Linked DNA regions of Callithrix jacchus. The protein of the gene in region 1 purifies or fractionates together with the protein of each later gene. This does not show direct contact. Links are inferred from orthologs where the notes say so. Each region holds a gene or a part of one and is shown in the gene's direction. Other genes may lie near its edges. The genes, in order: KDM5B and PAX9.

Evidence for each region.
Region 2: the proteins of KDM5B (region 1) and PAX9 purify together in Homo sapiens (affinity purification with western blotting, with the first as the bait; 3 studies listed by BioGRID). This does not show direct contact. The link is inferred for Callithrix jacchus from reciprocal best matches to the Homo sapiens genes KDM5B and PAX9.

What each region holds. Positions count from the first base shown.
Region 1 is NC_133520.1:29,768,044-29,776,850, reverse strand, and holds part of KDM5B (lysine-specific demethylase 5B), read left to right. Parts: intron 1-2,963; coding exon 2,964-3,114; intron 3,115-3,267; coding exon 3,268-3,382; intron 3,383-3,811; coding exon 3,812-4,167; intron 4,168-4,725; coding exon 4,726-4,864; intron 4,865-7,536; coding exon 7,537-7,716; intron 7,717-8,675; coding exon 8,676-8,807. UniProt on the Homo sapiens protein: Histone demethylase that demethylates 'Lys-4' of histone H3, thereby playing a central role in histone code. Does not demethylate histone H3 'Lys-9' or H3 'Lys-27'. Demethylates trimethylated, dimethylated and monomethylated H3 'Lys-4'.
Region 2 is NC_133509.1:71,286,186-71,295,721, forward strand, and holds the start of PAX9 (paired box protein Pax-9), read left to right. Parts: upstream 1-4,712; 5' UTR 4,713-5,205; coding exon 5,206-6,034; intron 6,035-8,928; coding exon 8,929-9,071; intron 9,072-9,536. UniProt on the Homo sapiens protein: Transcription factor required for normal development of thymus, parathyroid glands, ultimobranchial bodies, teeth, skeletal elements of skull and larynx as well as distal limbs.

The sequences.
Region 1 (8,807 bases):
GAATCTAACGATTATGTGCCTTGGGGTTGCTCTTCTTGAGGAATATCTTTGTGGTGTTCTCTGTATTTCCTGGGGTTGAATAGTGTCCTGCTTTGCTAGATTGGGAAAATTTTCCTGGATAATATCTTGGAAAGTATTTTCCAGCTTGGATTCATTCTCTCCATCACATTCAGGTACACCAATCAAAAGTAGATTTGGTCTTTTCACACAGTCCCATATTTCTTGGAGACTTTGCTCATTCCTTTTCATCCTTTTTTCTCTATTCTTTTCTTGTCGTTTTATTTCATTAAGTTGGTCTTCAACCTCTGATATCCTTTCTTCTGCTTGATCCATTTTCTTTTTTTTTTTTTGAGACGGAGTCTTACACTGTCACCCAGGCTGGAGTGCAATGGTGTGATCTCGGCTCACTGCAACCTCTGCCTCCCAGGTTCAAGCGATTCTCCTGCCTCAGCCTCCTGAGTAGCTGGGATTACAGGCACATGCCATTGTGCCCAGCTAATTTTTGTATTTTTAGTAGAGATGTGGTTTCAACATCTTGGCCAGGCTGGTCTTGAACTCCTGACCTTGTGATCCACCCACCTCAGCCTCCCAAAGTGCTGGGATTACAGGCGTGAGCCACCACACGTGGCCCACATTTTCTTTACCCAATCTATTGTTAATGGGTATTTAGGTTGATTCTATGTCTTTACTGTTGTGAATAGTGTTGCAGTGAACATACATTTGCATGTGTATTTATAATGGAATGATTTATATTCCTTTGGATACCCAAAGGAATATAATGGCATTGCTTGGTCTAATATACCTTGGTATATACCCAAAGGAATATAATGGCATTGCTCGGTCTAATGGTATTTTGGTCTTTAGGTCTTTGAAGAATAGCCACACTGTCTTCCACAATGGTTGAACTAATTTATACTTCTACCAACAGTGTATAAGCATTTGTTTTTCTCCACGACCTCACCAGTATCTGTTACTTTTTAATAATAGCCATTCTGGCCGGGCGCGGTGGCTCACACCTATAATCCCAGCACTTTGGGAGGCCGGGGCGGGTGGATCACGAGGTCAAGAGATCAAGACCATCCTGGTCAACAAGGCAAAATCCTGTCTCTACTAAAAATACAAAAATTAGCTGGGCATGATGGCGCGTGCCTGTAATCCCAGCTACTTGGGAGGCTAAGGCAGGAGAATTGCTTGAACCCAGAAGGCGGAGGTTGCGGTGAGCTGAGATTGTGCCATTGCACTCCAGTCTGGGTAACAACAGCAAAACTCCCATCACCAAAAAAAAAAAAAATAGCCATTCTGACTGGTGTGAGATGATAGCTCATTGTGGTTTTAATTTGCATTTCTCTAATGATCAGTGATGTTAGGCTTTTTTTCATATGACTGTTGGCCACATGTATGTCTCTTCTGGAAAAGCATTTTTTCTTTTCGCCTACTTTTTTAAAGGGGTTTTTTGCTTTTTTTCTTGTAAATTTAAGTTCTTTATAGATGCTGGATATTAGACCTTTGTCGGATGCATACTTGCAAATATTTTCTCCCATTCTGTAGGTTGTCTGTTCACTCTGATGATAGTTTATTTCACATTTCAGAAGCTCTTTAATTAGATCCCATTTGTCAGTTTTTGGTTTTGTTGCAGTTGCTTTTGGCATCTTCATGAAATCTTTGCCTGTGTCTGTGCCTATGTCCTGAATGATGTTGCCTAGGTTGCAATCCAGGGTTTTTATAGTTTGGGGTTTTACATTTAAGTCTTTAATCCCTCTTGAGTTAATTTTTGTATATGGTGTAAGGAAGTGGTCCTGTTTTAGTCCTCTGCATATGGCTAGCTGTTATTCCAGCACCATTTATTGAATAAGGAATCCTTTCTCCATTGCTTGTTTTCGTTAGATTTGTTGAAGCTCAGATAGTTGTAGGTTTGCATTTTTATTTTTGAGTTCTCTATTCTGTTCCATTGGTCTGTGTGTCTGGTTTTGTACCAGTCCATTTCTCTATTTTAACTTGCTTTCATTTCTGTAGCCCAACATATAACTCTACCCCCTTTTATTTAGGGGAGAGGAGCAATATCATTGTCTATGAGCCTAGTGTGCTCTGCTTAAGTGAGTACACTAATTACTCAGTAAGTGGAGAATAAAATGCAGGAGGAAAATGTGGTTCAAGCCACAGTAAGATTTATATTTGCTTTTCTTTCTTTCTTTCTTTTTAAGACAGGGTCTTGCTCTGTGACCTTGACAGGAGTTCAATGGCATGATCATGGCTGACTGCATCTTTGAACTCCTGGGTTTAAGTGATCCTCCTGTTTTAGGCTGTCCAATAGTTGGGACTACAGTTATGTGCCATCGCACCTGGCTGAGGTCTTTAATTTTGTAGAGATGAGATCTTGCTGTGCTGACCAGGTACATAGGCATGAGCCACTGTACCCAGCCTAAAACGTGTCAGATCTTAATGTTTCCATAATTAAGTTCAACTTTAGGCACTTGTTTAAAGAACTCCATGCTCAGCTGGCTTGGTGGCTCATGCCTGTAATCCCAGCACTTTGAGAGGCCGAGGCAGGTGGATTACGAGGTCAGGGGTTTGAGACCAGCCTGGCCAACACAGTGAAACCTTTCTCTACTAAAAATACAAAAAGAAAATTGGCTGGTGGCGGGCGCGTGTAGTCCCGGCTACTCGGGAGGCTGAGGCAGGAGAATTGTTTGAACCCGGGAGGTGGAGGTTGCAGTGAGCCGAGGTAGTGCCTGGGCAACAGAGCGAGGCTCCATCTCAAAAAAAAAAAAACCAAAATATCTCCATGCTCAGCCACAACCCCACAAAAATCAAATCAATAAATTTATTAATAATTTAAAACATTGCAAGAATTTGTAAGTTACATTTCTAGACCAGAACTCGCAAAAGCAGTCTCCTCTGAATTTCATACCAGTAGTAATAAACGTAATGATTACAGAAAAGATGACTTTTTTCTTCATTCCTAGGCCTTGTCAGCTTCAAGGCTTTAATTGAAGAATCTGAATTGAAGAAATTCCCAGACAATGATCTTTTGCGACACCTTCGCTTAGTCACACAGGATGCAGAGAAGTGTGCCTCTGTTGCACAGCAATTGCTTAATGGCAAAAGGCAAACTAGGTATGTGCTTCTGACTGCATGAGTTTGGATTCCTTGGCACCTATGTTTGGAAACCTGTTGTTGACTCCTTCTGTCTTGAATTTCTGTGACCACTTGGGTGTGGTGGACATACATATGTTCTTATACGGCTTCCTTGGGCCTTTGTCTTTATAGATACCGATCTGGTGGAGGGAAATCCCAAACTCAGTTGACAGTGAATGAGCTCCGGCAGTTTGTAACACAGTTGTATGCTCTTCCATGTGTCCTCAGTCAAACACCATTGCTAAAGGTAACCACAGAGGGATATGTGGGAAAATACTTGGGTAATCCTGTATTTTGTAAATAAATTAGATTGACAGTACTAAGTAATCTTCTTTGATGATTAATATGTACATTTATCTGCAGATGCTTTTAATAAGACATTGAGTGGTATGTGTGTAGAAAGAGATTATAGTAGGCCCACAGAGGGGAAAAAAGTTGGAAATTTTTACTTTGAAAGTGACCTCAGCTAGTTGAAGTTGGGATAAGCTCTCCGTTATAGTCACTTAGTGTTTGCTGTCAGTTGGCTTATGTATTATCTTATTACCTATGTTATTACTAGAATAGAATTAAAGGAATGGTAAAGGATCTCATTGAATATGAATTTAAGATTCTAAGTTTTAAAGAAGCCAATTACTGAAATTACTGTTTTGATGCAACAACCTGTGTATTTTTTTAGGATCTCTTGAATCGTGTAGAAGATTTTCAACAGCATAGTCAGAAACTACTCTCTGAGGAAATGCCTAGTGCTGCGGAGCTGCAGGACTTGCTAGATGTCAGCTTTGAATTTGATGTTGAACTTCCACAGCTTGCTGAGATGCGTATCCGTCTGGAACAGGCCCGTTGGCTGGAAGAGGTGCAGCAAGCTTGCCTTGACCCCAGCTCCCTTACTTTAGATGATATGAGACGTCTCATAGACCTAGGGGTAGGGCTGGCCCCATATTCAGCAGTGGAGAAGGCTATGGCCCGGCTGCAGGAATTGCTCACAGTGTCAGAGCACTGGGATGACAAAGCCAAGGGTCTCCTCAAGGCCAGGTAAAAAAGCAAACATTTCTCTTTCTTTGGGAAGGTTGGACAGTTATCTCCATCTTAAGCATAGAGCATAGTGATTGGTATGTGGCAAGTGCTCGGTAGCTGTAGTTACTATGCATGTGGAAGATACGTAGAAATAGCTGAGATACCTGGAGCTGCTTTGGGGCCTGAATAAAATAATGTTAATTTTTTTTAATTTTACTGATTATAAAATGAATAATTCAATTGGACACACCTTCTCTAGAGTTGGTTTAATGAAATTTCCCTGGATCCTGTTAATATCCTGTCTTTGGGAGAGGAAAATATTTATAAATGGGTGAAGCTGTTTAAACTCAGTTAGCATATATGTTTCCAAGGAGTCTTACAGAGAAATGTCTGAGAGTTAATAGGGACTGTTCTGTAAGAAAACAGTGCAGATAATTTTCAACAAGAGCAGACAATGCCATTTGAAAAAATTTATTTGCCATACTGAATTTTCTTTGACATGCTATCTTTTTGGCAATCATAAGAAAAATGAACCATCATATAAAATGCTTAGTAGTCTGTGTTTGCATTTTGTAGGCCACGGCATTCATTGAATAGCCTTACTACAGCAGTAAAGGAGATTGAGGAGATCCCCGCATATCTGCCCAATGGTGCAGCTCTGAAAGACTCAGTGCAGAGAGCCAGAGACTGGCTTCAGGATGTAGAGGCCCTGCAGGTTGGTTTAAAAAAGTATATATGAATGTGTAAGTGCATCCATAAAGAGCAATATTGGAAAGTTGTTAAGAATAATGTGTTGGATTTCACTGCACAGATTCAATATTTTAGGGGTTGACCAGAAGACTAATTCTATTCATACTTATTTGGATGTATTTACCAGCTATTATCCTGACCAGTTGTCTCAAATATTTAAAGCTTAGGTAATGTAACCAACTTTTTCTGGGATCTGGGGAGTCTTTTATAACAAACTTGAGTACTTGACTGCAGATTGAGGCCAAAGAGCTAACAATGAAAAGTAGTGAGAGAAAGAGTCATTTTCTGCTTTTTGATGAGTATTATTACCTCTTATTGGCTTGTCCACAGCTTTGGAGTTCAAACAATCAGTAATAGCAGATTCAGTGAATCTAGTTATATGATTAAATGCCCAAACTAAACCCCAAGGCCCAGAATTTTCATGAAGTAGTGACTTATATGTACCCTCCCAACCCTACAAAAGAAATAAAACCTACCCTGTTCCAAAGTAATTATCCAAAGTATCCAAAGTCATTTCCACCAAGTATTTATGGTCTTATTATGGTAGATGTTACACTTATTAGCTTGTATGTAAGTTTTTTAAAAAATTAAATTAACTTATACCATTGTTGAGGTACAAAAATAATGCATTCTGTAATATGATTTTCCCAGCGTTCAGATGACTGGCTGAATGACTTAATTTGAAAAGTGTTTGATGGAGAATGTCTCCTTTATCTTTCTTGTCATCATAAACCAATAGGTCTTACTGACCTGTTGGGGAAAAAAAAAAGTCTCAAGTTCTGTTTTGTTGAAGCCTTCAGATTTTAGGAATAAAATACTGTCTTTCTTTCTGAATATTTGTGTAATTTTATGTGGTGCTAATTGGCTAGTCACTAACAAGAAGTACCAAACAGGACAATTCTAGACAAATGTTTGCAAGAAAACATCTGGGCATCTGTTCTTGTTAATAGGGAAAAGAAGATACGTTGTTTAAGGAGATTGCATAATTAAGGACTTAATCCAGCAAGCCAAAGAAAAAAACCAAGAAAGTATTAACTATGGACATAAACTTCCTTAATGAGAGTTTAGATGCAGGTGCTTGTCAATGATAGTTGGTACTGTAGTAATTAGTTTTAGTCATGGTCCTCCTTTTTACTCCATGACTGGTAGCAGCCAGAAGGTGCAGTCATGGCAATAAGGAGAGGCTGGCATGTAAAATCAGAAGGCAAGGGCATGCTTCTGTTGTGTTTATTTCCTTCATATTTTATATGTATATGCTACTTACTATGCTTGCAACAGTGCCATTAAGGGCAAAAGGCAAGTTTTGCTTCATTCCTGAAAAAGTAGCTTACATTTTTTTGCATACTATATTTAAGGACTAATAGACATAACAACAAGGAACTACTTCATATTTAGTGGATTATTTATTTTTAAATGTTATACGGTATTCTGTTTTACACATAGAAGTACTCTGATATCTAAATTAAATATAGGAATAGCATGTAATTTATGAGTCACATTCTTAAGTGTCAGTCGGAACATTTATGCCCTAACAGTTTTAATCCTGTAAGAATAAATATCAAAGGCAGTGAAATAGCAATCTACCCTATCTTCCCTAGTTGTCCCAAAAATGTCCCTTATGGCTGTTTGTCTAACCCAGGAACACACGTTGCACCTAATTGGCATCGCGTTACGTTTCTTTAATCTTGCAGTGTTTTCCTCCCCACCGCAGTTTTTCTCATGTAACTGACAGTTATCCTATGGTATGCTCTACTTTCTGGATTTGTCTGGTTGTTTCTTTGAGGAGTGTTCTATTCTCCGTATTTCCTATAAATTGGAAGTTAGTTTTAAAGCCCTGATGTAACCAAGTTAAACATTTTTTAATAGAATGAATTAAAATGTCAGGTAATATTGTATATTCTGTATTGTATCACAACAGGAGACATATTTGGATGGCCTACCATTAGTGATGCTAAGTTTTACATTGTACTGGAGTAACACCAATCCATTTCATCCTCTGTAATCTAATGCTTTTATTCTCCTTCTAGTTTGGCTATCTCTTTCTCAAAATATAGTTCCCAGACCAGCAGTATTAGCATTGGCAATAGCAGCTTCACCTGGGAACTTGTTAGAAGTGCACATTTATGGATCTTCCTCTAACCTACTGAATTAGAATATTTGGGGATGGGACTAAGGAAACTGTTTAAATAAGCCTTCCAGATGATTCTTATGCATGCTAAAGTTTGAGAACCACTGGGCTATCTCAACTAATATTTTAGTTTCCTGAATAATTTATGTTGAGTTGCTTTAATTCATCACTGGTGAGTGGATTGGAGTAAAATATTGTTTTGCTTTTTATTTGTGTAATTCAGTGTGAAAGTCTTGAGTTAGTACAAACCTTCGTTTCTGTTGAACTCCATCTTAAAAAAGAAGAAAAACCACCACCACCAAAAAAACTCAAACTAGGTTCTCTGAAGTATTTGTGTAATAAAGGAACAAATGTCACTTCTACCCCCAACATCATTGGTTAGTTGGCAGTTTATTTAATCACGATTTGTGAATTTAGCATGCTAAGATCATGAACCAATCTGAATTATGCTTTTTCTATTTTTCATAGAGGTATTCTTTTTTCCAAACTGCTATAATTTTTCTTATTAGGCTGGAGGACGTGTGCCAGTGTTAGACACACTCATAGATCTTGTTACACGAGGCCGATCTATCCCGGTACATCTGAATTCTTTGCCAAGACTGGAATCCCTAGTAGCTGAGGTTCAGGCATGGAAAGAATGTGCTGTTAATACATTCTTGACTGAGAATTCTCCATATTCTCTCTTAGAGGTAAGTTTATAACCAGCTCATCTGCAAGACCTTAGATCTCCTAGTTTGGTAAAACATGCAATTCATCACGTACAAAGACGACATCATAGATTAATCTATATTCTGTGAGTTGTTATTCCAGTAAAGCCAGGGTGATTCTTCTAATCTTCTGGTGAAGCAACCTTTAAATATTTTCTTGATTCATTTAGGATAGCAGTTAGAATCCAAAGAAGAAAACTTTTTCCTGTTGGGTGAAATTCCTCTGTGTTGAAATTGGACTCTTAAACTTGACCATGCTTCACCCACCTGAATTTAGTAAGCCTGATAAATGATCTCCCCTATCTTTTAAAAGTGCTTTAGGCCAGGCTCTATGGGTCACGCCTGTAATCCTAACACTTTGGGGAGGCCAATGTGGGTGGATCAACTTGAGGTCAGGAGTTCGAGACCAGCCTGGCCAATATGGTGAAGCCCCGTCTCTACTAAAAATTAAAAAATTAGCCTGGCATGGTGGCGTATACCTGTAGTCCCAGGTACTTGGGAGGCTGAGGCAGAATCACTTGAACCTGGGAGGGGGAGGTTGCAGTGAGCCGAGATTGTGTCACTGCACTCTAGCCTGGTGACAGAGTGAGATTCCATTTCAAAAAAAAAAAAAAAAAGTTCTTTAGATGGACTTTTTATATTTTCTGTAAGCTGTTGCTTGTGCATCATGACTGGGATCAGTCAGTATGTACCACATGTTTTTTACTTGTTAATTGAATCAGGAATCAGTGGATCTTTTATGTGCCTTCTTCCATCTCCCTTTTGTAAAGGAGAGTCTCAGTATTGACTCCTGAGTCTCTCAGGAGAAGATGTTCCAAAGAAAATCTTCAGTACTAAGAAATGCACATCCTTTTTACTGCTTAGGCTTTTATTTTGGGACTTATACCTAATGCTTTATCTGAAATTTATTTTACCATTGGTTGTGCTTTGTCCCACATTAGGTGCTGTGTCCTCGATGTGATATTGGCCTTTTGGGATTGAAAAGGAAGCAGAGAAAGTTTAAGGAGCCCTTGCCAAATGGAAAGAAAAAAAGCACCAAATTAGAGAGTCTGAGTGACCTGGAGAGAGCTTTA
Region 2 (9,536 bases), on another chromosome or scaffold:
AGGGAAACTGAAAAGAAATGTCGATTGTTTTTATTGTAATAGAAGGAGTGAGCAAACAGAAAAACCAACCCCGGGTGATCGGAAACAGGCAGGCGGAGAATTAAAAGCGGGTTTCAGGCAGCAACAAGCCCCTCCCCTGCCCTCGCAAGGAGAAAGCCGGCGACTAGCGTTCGCAGCCCGTGGGGCCGATCCCACCGCCAGCAGCACTCCGGCCGGGTCGCCGTCGGACCAGCAGAACGCGGAGATGCATTTCGGAGCTAGGGCCTGACCCAACCCACTGCCATTCTTGCTACCTCGTGGAGCCGGGAGAGGCTCTTGAACCGTGAGGCTCCTTGGTGAGAAGGTGGAGAGGCCGCGGGGATATTCTCCGAGCATCTTTCGGCCGCTCTCTACTCCTCTAGGAGCGCTTGCGACTTCTCCGTGGGCTGGCGCGTCCGCAGTCCCTCCAAGTTCAGGCCGGCAGGTCAGTGTGCTGGCGCCACAAGTCCTCCTCTCCCACCCCGGGTCTGGCTGGGACAGAGGACCACTGAGGGCTGTCTCCATTCCCAATCCCCCGCTACTGCACCATTTAGCCACCGCCCCCTTCCGCAGCGCAGATGCTGCAGGGCCAGCGGTCCAGGGAGGACCCACCCTAGCCCCGGGCGCCGGGCAGTCTTCCGGTTGTCACTTGCAGCTGCAGTTTCTGGGAAACTCAGTTGGCTGCTGACCCTGCAAGACCGGGACAGAGCAGCGGGCCGAGTTCTGGAGAAGTTGGGCCTGTTTTTCTCTCTGCGCCGCGCGCAATGCCCCAACTCACCGTGAAAGGGCTTGACTTTACTGCATGTTCCCCAGGCAGAAGTCAATGCACTGTGAAAATCCCAGTCCCGGACTCGGACTCTGGCTGTCTTGCAATCCCCGCAACTCCTCTGAGTGGAAAAGAGGTGGGCACCATCGCCTGGGCCTCGCCTGGGGGTCCTGTCCCTAGCAGGGTGCAAGTTGGAGGAATCAGCTCCTTAATATTTTCTGCTAGCTCCGCTAGTCATTCATTACTGCAACTCGGAATAGAACAGCCTCTCTCCAGGACACACACACACACCTCACTCTCGCCCTATCCTCCCGTCCGCAGTCATCACAGACCTGTAGACCCGGAGGAGCAGCCTTCCCGCGGAGCAGCTTAGCCGGCGTCGGTCTGGGTTGGGGATTCAGGGAGGGGTCCTCGCGTTCCGCACAACCTGCAGTGCTTGGGTCTGACTTCAGCAGCCCTCGGGTACAGTCTACCGGGCTAGATTCCTGTTGCTTCTCCGCGTCTCTCCGCCAGCCGCTCTAGTGCCTGGAAGGGGGCGCAGCAGGTGACTGCCCGCGGCACTGGGAGGGCTGACAGATTTATGGAGACTTCACAGCATCTGGCTGGGGTCCTCGAGGGCAGGGCGGAGTCCAGCCGAGCCGGTGGTAGGGATTAAAACTTCCCCAGCCGCACGCCTAGGCCGAGCCGCCCCCGGAGTCCCCGGCTACTGCTCCCCTCGGGCGGGTGTACACCGGGATCCGGCCCGCACCGAGTGTACAGATCCCTCCAACCCTGTGTAGCCCCCCTCCTTCACACTCTAGGCCCGGCTGGCTTCCAGTCTCCCACTGAGTAAATATTTACCCAGAGAGCCGGTCGCCCCTCGGAGGAGGCCTCGACGAGACTAGGGAAAGGCTTTTTGGCTTCTCCCCGGCCTGAGCCAGCTGCAGGCCTTACTGGTTGTGTTTTGGTTTTGGTCTTAAATTTCTCCTTTTAGTTGAAATTCTTCTAATCTCTTTGTGATCTCCTGGGTCCAGACTGGCCAGTACCCAGGGGGCAGTGACTCCAGCTGACTCTTGTTTTTTCTCTAAGTCCTACGTCCTTACGCCCATTGGAACTGACTATACCTGAATGTTCTTTCTCTTCCTTCCTCTATCCCTCTTTCTCTCCCTCAGATCCGTCGTCTCTCGGTGGAGCTCAGTGCCTGCCTCGCCCCAGCACTCTGTCCGCGCCTGGGAAGGCTTCAGCGTCACCCTCTTCTGCTGGGGTCTCACTGACAGCGTCTGCCGCTGCAGCTTTGTCTTCTCTTGCTCCCAGAGCGGGGTCCTCTGCTTGCGGTGGATACTTAGTGGCCCAAAGCACCTAAAATGGGTTCTTTCTGCGCTCTTGACAATGTTAAGAGCACCCAGTACCTGCAACCGACGGTATGAGTGGGGTCTGCGGGGAGCGGCCGGCGCCGCGGATCAGGCCCCCTGCCCACTGAGATGCTACCCCTGATGCGCCCAGGGAGTCCGCAGCATCTAAGGCCACATGGTCACAGCCAAGTCCAGAAGATGGAAAGGGAGAGATGGCATTGAATCTGTGTGAGAACTGGGGAGATGTGTGGCAGACAAAGGAGTTGGTGGGAACAAGAGGGGGTTGTATGTTACCTCCAAATGGCCAGAGCTCTAAACAGTAACCTTTTACCCTAGGCTGGTGCTGTAGAACTGCTAAAGCTTTCGAAGAGTCCCCAGACACCCCGCGGGGCATTAGGTTTTGCATGTTGGTAGGCGAATATCCTCGTATCCGCCTAGCAGCCCTGCCGACTGCGAATTCTCCCTGGGTGCACGGAGGTAGATCACATTCTGCGCAGAGGACGACACTCACTGCTTGTCTGTGAGGAGGAAGGAGGATTCCTGATCAAGTTGCTGGGCATGTTCATTCCCTCCTGAAGCCTAAGGCAAAGTCGTAAACTCCCCTCCGATGCGTCAAAAACTCAATTAATGTATCAGCCTTAAGAAGGCGCTTCTGCTTCTAAAATCTTTAGATTTCCGAAGGCTCTACTTATGTAAAAATGCCAGGCGGTGCCACACGGTGTCACTCAACAGATATTGGGGTCAGACTAGAGTGAAATTTCTATCAAATCAAACTTTAAGAAGATTTTAAACATTTGAAACCAACCAACAAAAAGGGACAAGTTCAAGTATGTCTAGTTGTGGGACTTTTTTCAAGATTACGATTGTAAAGAATGGTGTTTTAGTTCATCTGTATCTTTCACATCCTTCATTCTGTTAGGTAACCGAATTTAGAGTGCATCCTCACTATACAAGTGGGAATCTGGAGATCTGTTCCTTTGCAGAAGCATGGCTGATCACAGTTTTGTCCTGGGTTCTTGTAACTTACTGGCCCAAGATCTGGGACCAGCTTCCCTGGGTTTAACAGAGCCACACACATCCCTGGGGACTGTTGGGGAAGCAGCCTGAATCCTGCGTGGACAAAGAGCCTTGTGGATTGTCAAGTAGCAGTAGCATAGTTCACGACCCCAAGCAGTAAAAACTCCCAAATTCACGAAAATATTTTCTTCTTGTTTATTATTTTTATTCACATTCTCCACAACCCTAACTGCAAATATCAATAACTTTGGCTGCCAACAAGCATACAGCAAACTTTAGATTAGACTTAGCATGAACAAAAGTGAAAATTCAGAAGTAGGCAGAACCAAAGGACCTCTGGGAGCTTAATAGAAGAGGGAATTACATCCATGTGCAGCATCAGTGTCCACTTTCTTGAGACTAGATCTCTTTTATATACAAACAAAACTCTCTAGAAATCGGTTTGGAGAACCCTCACAAACCCTGGCACCAAGGCCCAGCGGCCCAGGACAGTGGCTGAATGTGGCAGAGCCTTGGACTCCGTAGTGAGTGCCCCAGGCACTGGCAATCAATGGACTTGGGGCAGTGCCCTCGCGTTAGCCTCCTGTGGTTCAGTTCCCGGCACACGGCGTGGCCCCTACCTTGAGCCTGCGTGGCTAGTGGTTGGCCAGTCCACCTGGGGGGTGGGGGGCTGCCGCGGGAAGCTGGCGGTAGGAGGAGCCTCCCTGGCCTTAACAGTGGCCCTCACCTGTGGCTCGGGCTCCCCGTAACCTCCTGGTTTCTCTGGCGGGCCTACCTTCTCACACCTGCGCTCTCTCCACCTGGCATGGATTGAAGTTAGGTAGAATCGGCAGGTGACACAGATTCTCTCCGGTGGCCCTCTCGACAGATTTTGCTAAGACAACTCCCCACCCCCGTGCACCGTGGCGCCCGCCTCCCACTTAGGGTTTTAACTTCAATTCTGAGACGTCCATCGTTCCCCTGAGGAGGTCTCCTCGGGTCCCTTCTCCCTTCGAATCATTCATACTCAGATAAGACTCTTTCATTTGTTTATTCAGCATTTTACCAGCCTGATTTTGCTGTCTTTTTGTGTCGCTTCTGGGAAGATGTCAAACACCCATTTTCGTGGTATTTAGTCACCCAGGTGGGGGGCCAGCCTGAAAGAGATAGCGGAAGGAGTTTCCTGGACTGCCCTGCCGCTCACCGGCCCGTACCAATCACCACGCAGCTCGCCCTCAGGCCCGCCTCTTTGAGGGCGTGTCCCCAGTGAGTGATAGACGGAGCCGCCCGGCCCTGCTCAGCCCAGCCCACGTTGCAGCTTAGATTGAAATGCAGAACTCAAGCCTCTTTCACCGGGGCACAGACTTCCTTTTACTTCTTCCTTTTGCACTCTCGCCTCCACCTCCTGGGAAGAAGCGGAGGCGCCGGCGGCTCGGGGTAGCAACAGGCCGGGCCATTGCGGCCCTGCGGAAAGTTTCTGTCTGGTTGTGCGGAACTGGGGCCGGGTTGGTGTACTGCTCGGAGCAATGGGTGAGTGGCGGTGGAAGACTCTGTCGGAGCCGCGAAGGGAGGGAGCGAGCGAGAGAGGGAGGGAGGGAGGGAGCGAGAGGGCGCGCGCCACTAAGCGCTCACATTTTCTATTGACTTTGCTCGTGTTCCTACAAGTTGTAGGAACACGCTAAGGGTCAGCGGCGCACAGGAGTTCAATGTGAACGCTGGCTACTGGCTGGCTATTGATGCCATTTTCTGATTTTAAGAGAAGGGAACTATGGCATCAGCAAGCCCCGCAGCCCCCGTAGCAAACCAAGTTTTGCTTCACACGCGCGCATACACACAAACAAAACAGGAGGGAAAAAAAAGCACCTCTAGCTTCTCCTAGACTTTGTTTAACTGCCCGGGTCTCCAGGAGGAACGCTGGGGATGGGATGAGTAAAGAGGGAGTGGCCCAAGAAATTTAGTGAGGAGCAGGCTACAAGCAGCGCGTTTAGGCATCAAGACCGATTTCCCGTCCTGCTTCGGAGGACTTTTGAACGCTTGGAGAGGCCCTGAGTCTCACCACTTTACTTGGCTGTAGGGGCCTCTGGCACCGCAGGAATGAGGGAGGGGGTCCGATTGGACCGTGACAGTTGGGCCCGTTCGGCTTTGTTCAGGAATCGTTTGGCTTGGGGACAGCCCCTGTCGTTAGTACAGGACGGGTGCGTTCGCCCAGTCCCCGGACGCGCAGGGAGGCCCAGTGGCAGGCGGCTGTCCCAAGCAGCGTGTGCGCGTCTCCGCGCGCTGTGTGTTCGTTTTTTAGAGCCAGCTTTCGGGGAGGTGAACCAGCTGGGTGGAGTGTTCGTGAACGGGAGGCCGCTGCCCAACGCCATCCGGCTTCGCATCGTGGAACTGGCCCAACTGGGCATCCGACCCTGTGACATCAGCCGCCAGCTACGGGTCTCACACGGCTGTGTCAGCAAGATCCTGGCGCGCTACAACGAAACAGGCTCGATCTTGCCAGGAGCCATCGGGGGCAGCAAGCCCCGGGTCACTACCCCCACCGTGGTGAAGCACATCCGGACCTACAAGCAGAGGGACCCTGGCATCTTCGCCTGGGAGATCCGGGACCGCCTGCTGGCGGACGGTGTGTGCGACAAGTACAACGTGCCCTCGGTGAGCTCCATCAGCCGCATTCTGCGCAACAAGATCGGCAACTTGGCCCAGCAGGGTCATTACGACTCGTACAAGCAGCACCAGCCGGCACCGCAGCCAGCGCTGCCCTACAACCACATCTACTCATACCCCAGTCCTATCACGGCGGCGGCTGCCAAGGTGCCCACACCACCCGGGGTGCCTGCCATTCCCGGTTCGGTGGCCATGCCGCGCACCTGGCCTTCCTCGCACTCCGTCACTGACATCCTGGGCATCCGCTCCATCACCGACCAAGGTAGGGGCTCAGAGACAGGGCGTGTGGATGTGCAGCATCTGCCTCCGCATTCCCGCGGAGGTCCCACTATCTGCGGCCTCTGGGACCCTGTCTTTCCTATCACCTGAGGCTTTTTCCTTTGGAAACGTAAGGAGTCTTCCTAGGGGGTGTCCTGATCTCATTAACTTGAAACGCTTGCCCCTGGTTTCCTTGCCACACACAGTCTCCTGCCTCATCTCAAACTACCAGACCCATAACATCCCCCCATCCCCAACACATGGTTCGCATTTTCCACCCTCCCCCGCCTCTCGAGCCGAGGCGGCCTCAGCCCGGCTTGCTCACTTGAAGAGAGCGTCCGGGCCGGACTTGGGGGGCAGCCCGGGAGGCCTGAGCCTGCTTGGGGCTGCCGGCTGCAGATGCCGCTGCAGGCAGAGTAGCTTGCTTGGGGATCACAGACGCCCGGGAGGAGTCCAGCACGCGGTGGAAATTGAAGTATTCTCCCATTTTGGCAATCAGGCCAAATTTGCTCCGGCAGGAAGTTCAAATGTCAACTAATTGGTTTCGTTCTTATGCTTCACTTCATTTTCCTCGGAAATGGAGGTCCCGAAGTTACTACTACTAACTCATTCCCAGACGAGGTCATATTCTCTCTCTCTCTCTCTCTCCCTCTACCTCTCCCCCTTAACAGACTTCACCGTGTGTATCTTAGGAGGGGAAGTGGCATCTGCAGTGATGGAAATAAAATGCAGGCGATTCCATGCCGTTCTTTTTACTGTTCTTTTCCGTTTACCCTGAGCTTTCCGCTTTCCTTTGGGGTTCTCGGGTCCCCAAGAATGCAAGTGGGTATCTATCTAGTTTCTGCACATTTTCAGCAGTGCCACCCCACTGTTCTTTCCTTTCTCACCCCTGACCTTGCCTAGTCCTAAGCGTCCTTTCTGCCTAGTCAGGATTCCCCGAGCCCTCCTGCCCAGTCCGGCTTCAGCAGGAGACCTGAGTTTGTTTTCTTTTACTGAGTTGTTTTTTTTTTTTTTTTGGCGTTAACTTCTTGGTAGGGAGAAAATAAAGTCTAACTGTCCTATATGCAGAATTTAAATAATGTGTAGATAGTCCACTTTCTTAACATATCAGCCTAAAGTTTTAAAAATGTAGGGGGAAAATTAAATAGGAAAGAGGAAAATAGTTCTTTTAATTACTTCCTGCCTTTCTTGGTTGCCACCACATTGGCACAATTATCTTTTTAAGTAATTAAAGTAGAGCTCTGATTTCTCATCTTCTTGTTTTCTGACTGCAAGTTTACAAGAGCCCAGTTTTGTCTTATTTGGAGCTACTTGGAGCCGTAGTTGGAGAGTTTGCCCTTGATTTATAGGATAAACTGACCTCACTGACATTTAAAGGAAGCCCCTGTTCATGGGAAAGTGTGAGATCAGCAGAAATGGGGGCTCACAGGGGGATCTCAATTTCTTAAGATAACTTCAGGCTTGTGCCCACTGACTGCCTTTTGTCTGGGAAGGCAAAAACAGACAGGCAGTTTTGAACCAAAACACAGTTTCCTGGTGCAAATGGGACTCAATCTAATTCTTGAGGGTGGTAGAGGAGGAGACATAGTGGAAAAAAAAAGGCTGACAGTTGAAAAGAAAACTTTTCCTGCCTAGGGATTCTCCCATCAGAGCGAATGTCAGCTGGGAAAGTACTGGAGAATGGAAAGGAGCAACTCTTCCTTATAGACATTGTTGTGATTTTCGATGCCAGCTTTAAACAACCCAGATTCTGACAAATTTGTGACTATAAAATGATGATTTCTACAAAAATGATCACTCTCTTAAAGCACTTGTCAGATGGAAGTGTTTAAAATCAAGTTACAATGGCTTTGTCAAACTTCCATCCTCCACCCATAGGACCCAAAGACAAAAATACATTGTTTGTAGCCTTCACCAATCTCTTTGAAACTAACTATACCTGGTCACTGAAAAATGGCAATGATTCAATATGCACAACTCCAAGTATCATAGTAATTACACCATACAATTTTCTTTGCATCTCCAACAAGAACAGAAAGAATAACTGATGACATTACACCTTAACACTTAATTCTACTTTCATTTTCTTAACCGATTTCATTTTCTCTTTCTTGTATATATATATATACAAATATATATATATATATATATATATATATATATTTAAAACTCTTTTAGGATAACCCTGCCACTGACACCCATGACATGTAGAGTGGTAATTGCAAGATTTAAGTCATATGCACTTATCACATATGTAATGTGTAGAGGTAGAGTATCAAGGGGAGCCCTATGCACATACAAAGCAGAAATCTGTGAACATATCTTTTGCACTGAATTGTGGGAATCATTTAGTTGTTTGCAAAGGACTTTGCAGGTCATTTTGTTCTTTATTGACAAAAGTGCCAGATCCCCACAGTGCAGTGAGCACCAGTGCAGGCACCCTTAGGTCCGGCGCCTTTCTTTTTAGCCAGCCCCAGTCCCAAAACGTTGTCAACCCCCAGTCGGCCTTGGGTTATTAAGACTGAGGAGGTAGAGAACCCGCGGGCGCGTGCAGCCTTAAGAGTTCCTTCCTGATTTGGGTTTCTTCCACTCCTTTGCCCTGGGAGAGCGGAGGAGTGGAGGGAAAGCAAAGACCGGTTGAAAAAGAAAAAAATATCTTCCCTCAGACGTCAGATAACTCGGAAAGGCCTGCATTCAGGCGAGTAAAGCTTCACCAGGCCCTGGGCTGGAAGCACCGGACGGAGGTCGCGGCTGGGCCCAGCGCCCTCGGGAGACCGAGGGCAGGGGGCCGACCCAAGGTCTGAGCCCTCGAGCTCTCTCGTCGCTTACTTGGGTCCCGTCTCATGAGTGGGGCGTGCGGGCTGGGCCTCCGGCCTGACACCTTCTCTTCCTCTCCAGCAGTGAGCGACAGCTCCCCCTACCACAGCCCCAAGGTGGAGGAGTGGAGCAGCCTGGGCCGCAACAACTTCCCCGCCGCCGCCCCGCACGCGGTGAACGGGCTGGAGAAGGGAGCCCTGGAGCAGGAAACCAAGTACAGTCAGGTGAGGAGGCGAGGTCCCGGCCAGGTGGACCGCGTGGCGCCGGGGATTTAGGCGATAAGAAGACTCGGGTCCGTTTCTGAGCCTCCCGGGAGAAAAACCCAGGCCCGCGCCCATTTGCTGCTACCAGCCAGATCCTCTGTGCTTTGGGGTGAAACAGAGGCCCGGGCCTTCGAAGGCGGAGCTTGGGCCTCAACCCCCCGCCAGGGGCCGGGAGCGCTCGCCAGGGCGCGGGGATCTGGGGCGGCCGCTCCCCGGGGCGCGGCTCTGGGAAGCGCCTCCAGGCCTTTCGGTCTCTGGAGGCTTGGGGAGGCGGCTCCCGAAGCCTTTCAGCGACTCATATTGGGGGTAGAGTTAGCCAAAGAAGACCCTTCCGAAGGGCCGGGTCGAGCAACCCTGGGGCTTCGGAGCCGCCTCCACGCCCGCGAAATGCCCGCCCCGGGTCTCGGTCCTGCGGTGGGACGGCGG